Linked DNA regions of Mus musculus. The protein of the gene in region 2 purifies or fractionates together with the protein of the main gene of each other region. This does not show direct contact. Links are inferred from orthologs where the notes say so. Each region holds a gene or a part of one and is shown on either strand. Other genes may lie near its edges.

Evidence for each region.
Region 1: the proteins of Wdr5 (region 2) and Tcp1 purify together in Homo sapiens (affinity purification with mass spectrometry; 3 studies listed by BioGRID and IntAct, with this or other methods). This does not show direct contact. The link is inferred for Mus musculus from reciprocal best matches to the Homo sapiens genes WDR5 and TCP1.

The regions. Positions count from the first base shown.
Region 1 is NC_000083.6:12,922,405-12,925,671, reverse strand, and holds the end of Tcp1 (T-complex protein 1 subunit alpha), read right to left. Parts: intron 3,064-3,267; coding exon 2,940-3,063; intron 2,816-2,939; exon of another isoform or gene 2,755-2,815; intron 2,455-2,754; coding exon 2,262-2,454; intron 2,143-2,261; coding exon 1,979-2,142; intron 1,843-1,978; exon of another isoform or gene 1,413-1,842; coding exon 1,196-1,412; 3' UTR 1,013-1,195; coding exon of another isoform or gene 842-1,012; 3' UTR 605-841; downstream 1-604. Other genes in the region: Acat3 (acetyl-Coenzyme A acetyltransferase 3), read left to right, coding at 294-404, 842-1,012. UniProt on the Homo sapiens protein: Component of the chaperonin-containing T-complex (TRiC), a molecular chaperone complex that assists the folding of actin, tubulin and other proteins upon ATP hydrolysis.
Region 2 is NC_000068.7:27,513,973-27,518,078, reverse strand, and holds the start of Wdr5 (WD repeat-containing protein 5), read right to left. Parts: upstream 2,933-4,106; 5' UTR 2,799-2,932; intron 2,774-2,798; exon of another isoform or gene 2,327-2,773; intron 1-2,326.

The sequences.
Region 1 (3,267 bases), on a different chromosome or scaffold from region 2:
TCTTTTGGGAACATTATGCTGGCTTCTTAGATTCAACACCCCGGCAGTGGTGGCACACACCTTTAATCCCAGCACTTGGGAGGCAAAGTCAGGCAGATTTATTTCTGAGTTTGAGGCCAGCCTGGTTTACAGAGTGAGTTCCAGAACAGCCAGGACTACACAGAGAAACCCTGTCTTGTAAGAAACCAAAAATAAAAAAATAAGATTCTTCAACCCTTGTTATAGTCAGGGCCCAATCTTGTAGCTGTCAATTACTAATGGTTTAATTAAAGTTCCTTTTGTTTTTTTTGTAGGTTGCAAAGGCAGGCTGGTCCTTGGAGGATGTTGACCTGTTTGAAATCAATGAAGCCTATGCAGCTCTCTCTGTTGCAATAGCTAAAGAACTTGGACTAAACCCCGAGAAGGTAACCAACATGAAGTTGTGTTTGCCAGTGAACTTGCACAATCCATGTTCAAGGCTGCTTCTGCCAGGTGTTGACTTTTCACAGTAAATAACTGAGTGTGTTAGTTCACATCAGAATCAGTGGGACATGCCAGAAACAAAAAAAGACAGCAGGAGCCAGGCAGTGGTGGTGCACGCCTTAAATTCCAGCACTTGGGAGGCAGAGGCAAAGGCAGGCAGATTTATTTCTGAGTTAGAGGCCAGCCTGGTCTACAGAGTGAGTTCCACGAAGGCCAGAGCCACACAGAGAAACCCAGGAGGTGTCACATAGGCCTATTTATTCCTAAGGTTTACAGTGAAAGTTGAGTTTGAAAGGATGGTTTGCTAGCATAACACTGCGGGGAGACATATAAAACAGTCAGTTCACAGAGGACTGACTTAGGCTCTTCTTCTCTATAGGTCAACATCAATGGAGGAGCCATTGCCTTGGGCCATCCTCTGGGAGCATCTGGCTGCAGGATTCTAGTGACCTTGCTGCACACCCTGGAGAGAGTGGGCGGGACCCGTGGTGTTGCAGCCCTGTGCATTGGGGGTGGGATGGGAGTCGCAATGTGTGTTCAGAGAGGGTGAACTGCATGACAGCCACCACCTTGGACAGTTCTTGTTAAATCAGTGCAACACTAAGCAGAAAGGGAAACCAGAGGACCAAACTGAGGACAGGAACCCAGGTGGTCAGCTTGCTGTACTTTAATGTGAGACACCCAAGGCTACGGCATTGCACCTGACACTGTTATAAATAAGAGGGAAATCCAATCAGTCATCAAGGGCTCCAGAGTGAACAGCATTTTCATAACTTCCGTGTTTATCGTCTTTGCTTTCTGGGTGTAATTTTATCAGATCATCAATCCGAAGGATGGTGATTGCAGCCTCTGTTGCGAACTTCAGGCTCTTCACTTTAACTATGGTTGGTTCAAACACCCCTGCTTGCTTGTTGTCTCGTGGTTTCCCATGGACCAAATCAAGACCAATCCTATAAAGGTGAAAACTGGAGTCAGTGACCTAATTAATGTGGTGAGGTATTCCAGCTATTCTAGTCCAAAAGACTGTGGGAGTTACAACAAGCTTGCCTCTGGGAGAAGAATAGCTGACAGTGTAGCAGGGAAACCTCATCTATCGAACACTTAGCAAATAGTGACATGTTGCATACTGTTCTGGTTGGTGTAAATATGCTTTATGAATCTTTATAAACACCAGGGTGTCTACGGATACAATATTCTGAAACTGTATTCACTGTAAGCTGAGAGCTGCCTAAAATGAGAAAGCCCTACCCCAATATCATCCTCTCGGCCCTTTCTATAGACTACCCAAGGAGTCAGAATGGGACCAAGTGTTGCGACACCTAGGGCAGAGCACTAAAACTTATCAGCCACCATTATGTAAAGATGTTATCTCGAAAACGATGCCTGTGATGTTTCAATATGTGACAAGTCCCTTCATATATTTCCCAAACGTGGAGGGAGGGACAAAGGTACTATTATGAACTTACAATAGACCCATGGAAGTTGACAATAGAACACAAGGAAATCATATACTCACCACTTTAGATTTTTACGTTCCGGGTTCACTTGAGCCTCATTGTGAAAAGCTCTTAACTTGGCAACCAGGTCGGTGGAGTCCTGGGCAGCATTCACTGCCAGTGTATTAGGAATCACAAGCAGAGATCTTGCAAACTCTGCAATAGCAAGCTGTTCCCGAGATCCCTAAGGAAGAAACCATGAGGTGTGCCCATGAAAGGAGTCAAAGCCTACAGCGGGCCTGACAGGGTAAAACCCTACGGTGAACCCAACACCGCACCCTATGCCTTTGAAAGCAGCCTTACCATGCTTGTTGCATAGTTTTCCAGGTATATGGACAGGGCAGCTTCTACAGCACCTCCACCTGGGACCACAGATTTCAACTCCAAAACTCTCTTCACCACACAAAGAGCATCATGTAAAGAGCGCTCCATTTCATCACACATGAAATCATTTGCTCCTCGTAAGATGATTGAAGCAGATGTACGAGCCTTAGTACTACAAAAAACAAACGTGAGGCTATTAGCATTTTTGTTAGTGAAAACAGTAACTGCAGACACGTTGATTAAATCCCACTAATAAGATATTTAGACATGCCGGGCATGGTGGCGCATGCCTTTAATCCCAGCACTCTTAACAGAGGCAGAGGCAGGCAGATTTCTGAGTTCAAGGCCAGCCTGGTCTACAACAAAGAGAGTTCCAGGACAGTCAGGGCTACACGGTAAAACCCTGTCTCAAAAAGACAGAAAAAAACCAAACAAACAAAAAGAAAGGTATTTAGGCATAAGGCACCAGGAACAATGTCTAGACCATGTACGAGAGACAAAACACATTTCATCTCCATGTACAATGGCCCAATATTGTTTTATCCCATGCGTATAACCGCTCCTATCACTGACAGACTAGAGCAGCAAATTAATGGGAAAGAATTATTTTTACAACACAATCTGCATTGCTCTGTAACTTACAAAAGCACTTCTTACTTTTTGATTAAGATCAGCTCATCATCACAAATTCTCTCCTGTACGACCTCTTCCGCTTGTCCCAACATCGTCACTTCAAAAGTTTCTTCGCCTTCCAAATTGGCCAGCGTAGACAGGATACTTGCTATAAGAGTCATGTAAGATACATTTTTTTCTCATAGTTTTAGTATATGGAAAAGCAGTGCATTATCTCAAGGTTCCAGACAAGCCACTACCGTAACCCAAGACAATACTGCCACCTTCAAGGTAAAAATACCTTAGTTTACTCATTTCCAATAAATTCAGCATCAAAGAATGTTTTCAACTACCTAGAAAATGGCTCTATAAA
Region 2 (4,106 bases):
TGTACTTATAAATGTAAAATAAATCTTTAAAACATAAAAATAGAAAGATTCCCAAGAAAAAGAATAAAAAGGGGGGCTGGTGAGATGGCTCAGTGGGTAAGAGCACCTGACTGCTCTTCCAAAGGTCCGAAGTTCAAATCCCAGCAACCATATGGTGGCTCACAACCACCCGTAATGAGATCTGATACCCTCTTCTGGTGCGTCTGAAGACAGCTACGGTGTACTTACATATAATAAATAAATAAATAAATAAATAAATAAAAGAATAAAAAGGAGAAACACGACCACCACATTGAACCCTCCAACAAATCAACTGTCCCAAGCTGGGGATAACTGTCACCCTATCCCAGGGCTGACGCTTCAGACACTCTGTGTGATGGCCTAGGCTTCCCACTGTAGCAGACAGGTGTATACAGGGATGTGAGTTTGCTTCAAAGAGCCCTTGACACAGTATTTAAAAGGCTTTCTAACAGAAACAACAGGCCAAGTAACAGGAGGTAGACTTTCTGTGCACAAGTCTGTGAACTTACCCAAATTCTAAAATACACCCAAATAATTTGACGAAACACAGTGGCCTCACCTCCTCAGTGGCTCCCTGTGACCTCATAAACTGCAACATGCCTTTAACAATACCTAGAGCTTACAGAGCACAGGGACTCAGTGCACAAAGTACTACCGAAAGCGCTCCAAGAATAAAACAGAGTAGTCACTGCCCCCATGTGAAAGAAACCTCTGGGGGAGCAGCACAAACAACAGCAGATAAGCTGCAGGTCTGAGGGAAAGTAGTTATTCCAGTCAGCTGGACAGACTCAGCCTGAACATGTATGCAACTGCAACAGTTTACTGCAGTTTACAGGAGGGCCCATCACCTGCACGCATCCAGAAAAGCACACCACCTGACTGGGAAATGAGCTAGTACTCCTCTAACGGAGAGCTACTGAGACATTCCTCAGCCATCAATGTAAGGAGCAATCATAATGTAAAGTCTGGCTTTGAGGTTAAACCTGAAACCTCACATGGACCCCCACATAAGACTAAGATGAAAGGACACCAAAAGAGAACAATGCCTCAAAGTCTTCAATCCTAGAGGAAAGAACAGGAACACCATGCACCACACAGGTGCAGCCAAGCTGTTTTACCTGCAGCCATCTCCATCAAGGTCAAATCCGCTGTAGCTCAAGCCCAGGTGCAAGGATCAGACTAGGGTAGGTCCCAGGGGCCTCTCCACAAACAAAGCTCTTGTGCCCAGGAAATACCAGCTGCTTGGTGCTTTTAGCTTTTTGGAGACAGGGTCTTGCTATGCACTGGTATTAAAAAACCAGTCTCAAGCTTGGTATGGTTGGTGTAACAGGCATAAATCAACTACCAGGCCTGACCTGGTGCTTATTCTTAATGCAACTATGGCCATGAGTTCCCATAGCAACCACTTTTGTGGACCATACAGGTAGCAACAGGAGCTGAGACTTAAGTAATGAAAAGGGCTAGAAAGTCTCTTTCAACCAGCATCTCATCTCCCTACTCCAGTGAAATGAAAGGCCAACAGTGTAGGGCAGATCTATCTCCAGTGTGGGAAGTCTCTAGGAACTAAGCTTCTTTTAGCATATAAAGAGATTCACCTAACAGCAGGTGGATGACCTTGCCAACAAGCACACCACCACCCAGCCCTGCCCATCACATCGTTAATAAGCTGGGTCTTTCAGGAAGACAAATATTAACATCTGAAGACACTAGTTGTAGCACCACCCACTTTAATTCCAGCTCTAAGGATGAAGAGCTCTAAGGATGTGGGCCCCAAACAACCAACCAAAAAACAAAAACAAAAACGGGGAAGAAAGAAAGAAAGAAAGAAAGAAAGAAAGAAAGAATATCAACATTAGCCAATCTGCCTCACAGCATTCAGGAGGCTCAGGAATTCAAAGCAGTTAAATGTGAGGCTAGCATCAACCTGAAACCGGCTCAAAGGAGACCACCACTTTCCAATTCCACAGGGTAGAGTCCAAGACAGAGCACTCAGGAAAGCAGGACTTGGGGAGGGCAGGTCTGGGAGGAAGCTGGGTTAAGCAGGATCCTCAGCAGGTGGTTTGGAGCTGGCCTCCACTGCCCACAAAGGAGGTAGGTAACCGGCAGCCGCAGCCGGGGCTTTACACTAGAGTGAGCCTGACTATGGAAGGGCAGCAGCCATCAGTCTCCCTCCAGTCAAATGTAGACTCCTGGTTTCCACCCTAGTACACAAGTATGGGAAGACAGAATGGTTCAGTCACTCAGGTGAGTGCAGTAGGTAACCCAACAAAGAACTCCAACCCATCCTCTCTGGGCTCCTAGATACCTAGGTACTAGTAGCCTTGGCTTCACACCACTGTGCGCTCAACTGCCCGGCTGTCCCGGACAATGTTCAGAAACCCTTGACCGGTCAGCCCTAGTCAGGTAGAAACTTGCGCTAGGACACAAATGAGGGTTGTGCCCGCAGCACGAGAGGCGCCAAGTGGCCAAGGAAACCTGCGCGACGCTGGCTGGGTGTCCCCGATGAGACAGAGAATTCCACTCCCAGTGACGCCAGTCTGAGGTGTGAGTCTCGAGAAGCTCGCAGGACTAAGGGTCTAGGGGCGTAGCAGGGGCCGCAGTGGAAGTAGCGGGCCGTGGCGGCCACAAGGGGCGGCGGGGTCGGGGCGCGGCCGCAAATGCGGCGTCCGGCCCGGCCCGAGGCCCTCGGAACACGTGCGGCGCTGTGGAGCCCGGAGCCCGAGGGCCCTCGTGGCCGCCGCTCGCCTCGCGCCCGCGGGACCGGGTTTCTCGCTTACCTGCCGGGGCCGCGGCGGCGGGGCCGGGCGCTCTGGCGTCGCGTCGGCTAGCCCTACGCGCGAGAGCAGACGATCTGCTGGACTAGGCGGCAGCGGCGCGGGAGGCGGGAGGGATTGCGCGTGCGCGAGGGGCGGGACAACGGGCGGCGACGAGGGTCAGAAAAACTAGAGGAGGCGGAGCGCCTTAAAGGGGCCGTCTGTGGTTCTCGCTTCCTATTTGACCGCTACTGGTGTTCGGTAACTGCAGACTGGAGCACTCTAGAATTAAAGATGGGTGAGAACGTGCTTAGGTGCCTCTCCTGTTATTCTAGGCTGTGTAGCCAAGCTAACAGTTACAATTTGCCTGTGCTGGCCCGTGCCTGCCCAGGACTGTTGGGAAACCTCTTGGTGCCACTGGTGGATGTCCACGAGGTCCGGAAGTCCGGAGCTCCTGCGGCCTCCCCAGCCTACCGCAAGGCGGGGGGCTTCCTGCCGCTGCAAACCACAGCTCAAATTGAACATACTTGCCTCTCTTCTACAGGGCCATAAGGAGGCTACGCTGTACCACCACCACCACCCCACACAGACACACTCCGAAAAAGGTCTTAGGAGCTACCGCTGCAGGGAGAGATCTACAGTAGTGTCCAGGGAAGGCAGGGCACTACTGTAGAGAAGGAAGCCTGCACGCTGACAAGAGAGGAGCTACCTGACTTAGAAGACAAACAAGAAAGAATGTGGACAGGAAAGGCAAGTGTCCCTAACACAGGGGCTCCAAGTCCTCCAGCTATGCATGCATCTGGAACGATGCAGTTGCACCTGAATGTAGGCTCAGGCAGTTCACATTCCAGGCAGCCACAGCATCCACTACAATCTGGCTCCTGTGTGGCTCTGGAGCTCCATTTTAAAGGCTTTATCTCATTTTCACAAGACAGCCCCTAGCAGGCTGGCCGGCCTGCAGTTAGCAAAGTTTTGACAGCCCTCTTTCCTGTTGGACCACCTCTACTCCTGTCACTAACGGGGAAAACACCCAGAGAGGAGGACACAGGGACAGAAGGAGAACCTGGAGCCAGGTCTGCACCTCTCACTTCACTGTCTAACTCACATGGTCTTAGACTCTTGGAGGTGGCTATGACCTGTGCAGCCTCATCTTCCAGTCTGGGAATATCAAATATAACGCGTGGGGAACCTGTGCAGAGGGAGGGACTAAGCAACTGAAGCTTGAGAATGGAGAGTGTGTGGTTGCCATAGCTACAAGAGTGTGAGAAGACTGACATTGGCCTGGAATCTCCTGCTAAAGGCACAGAAACAGTTCAGACGAATCTGTGTGTC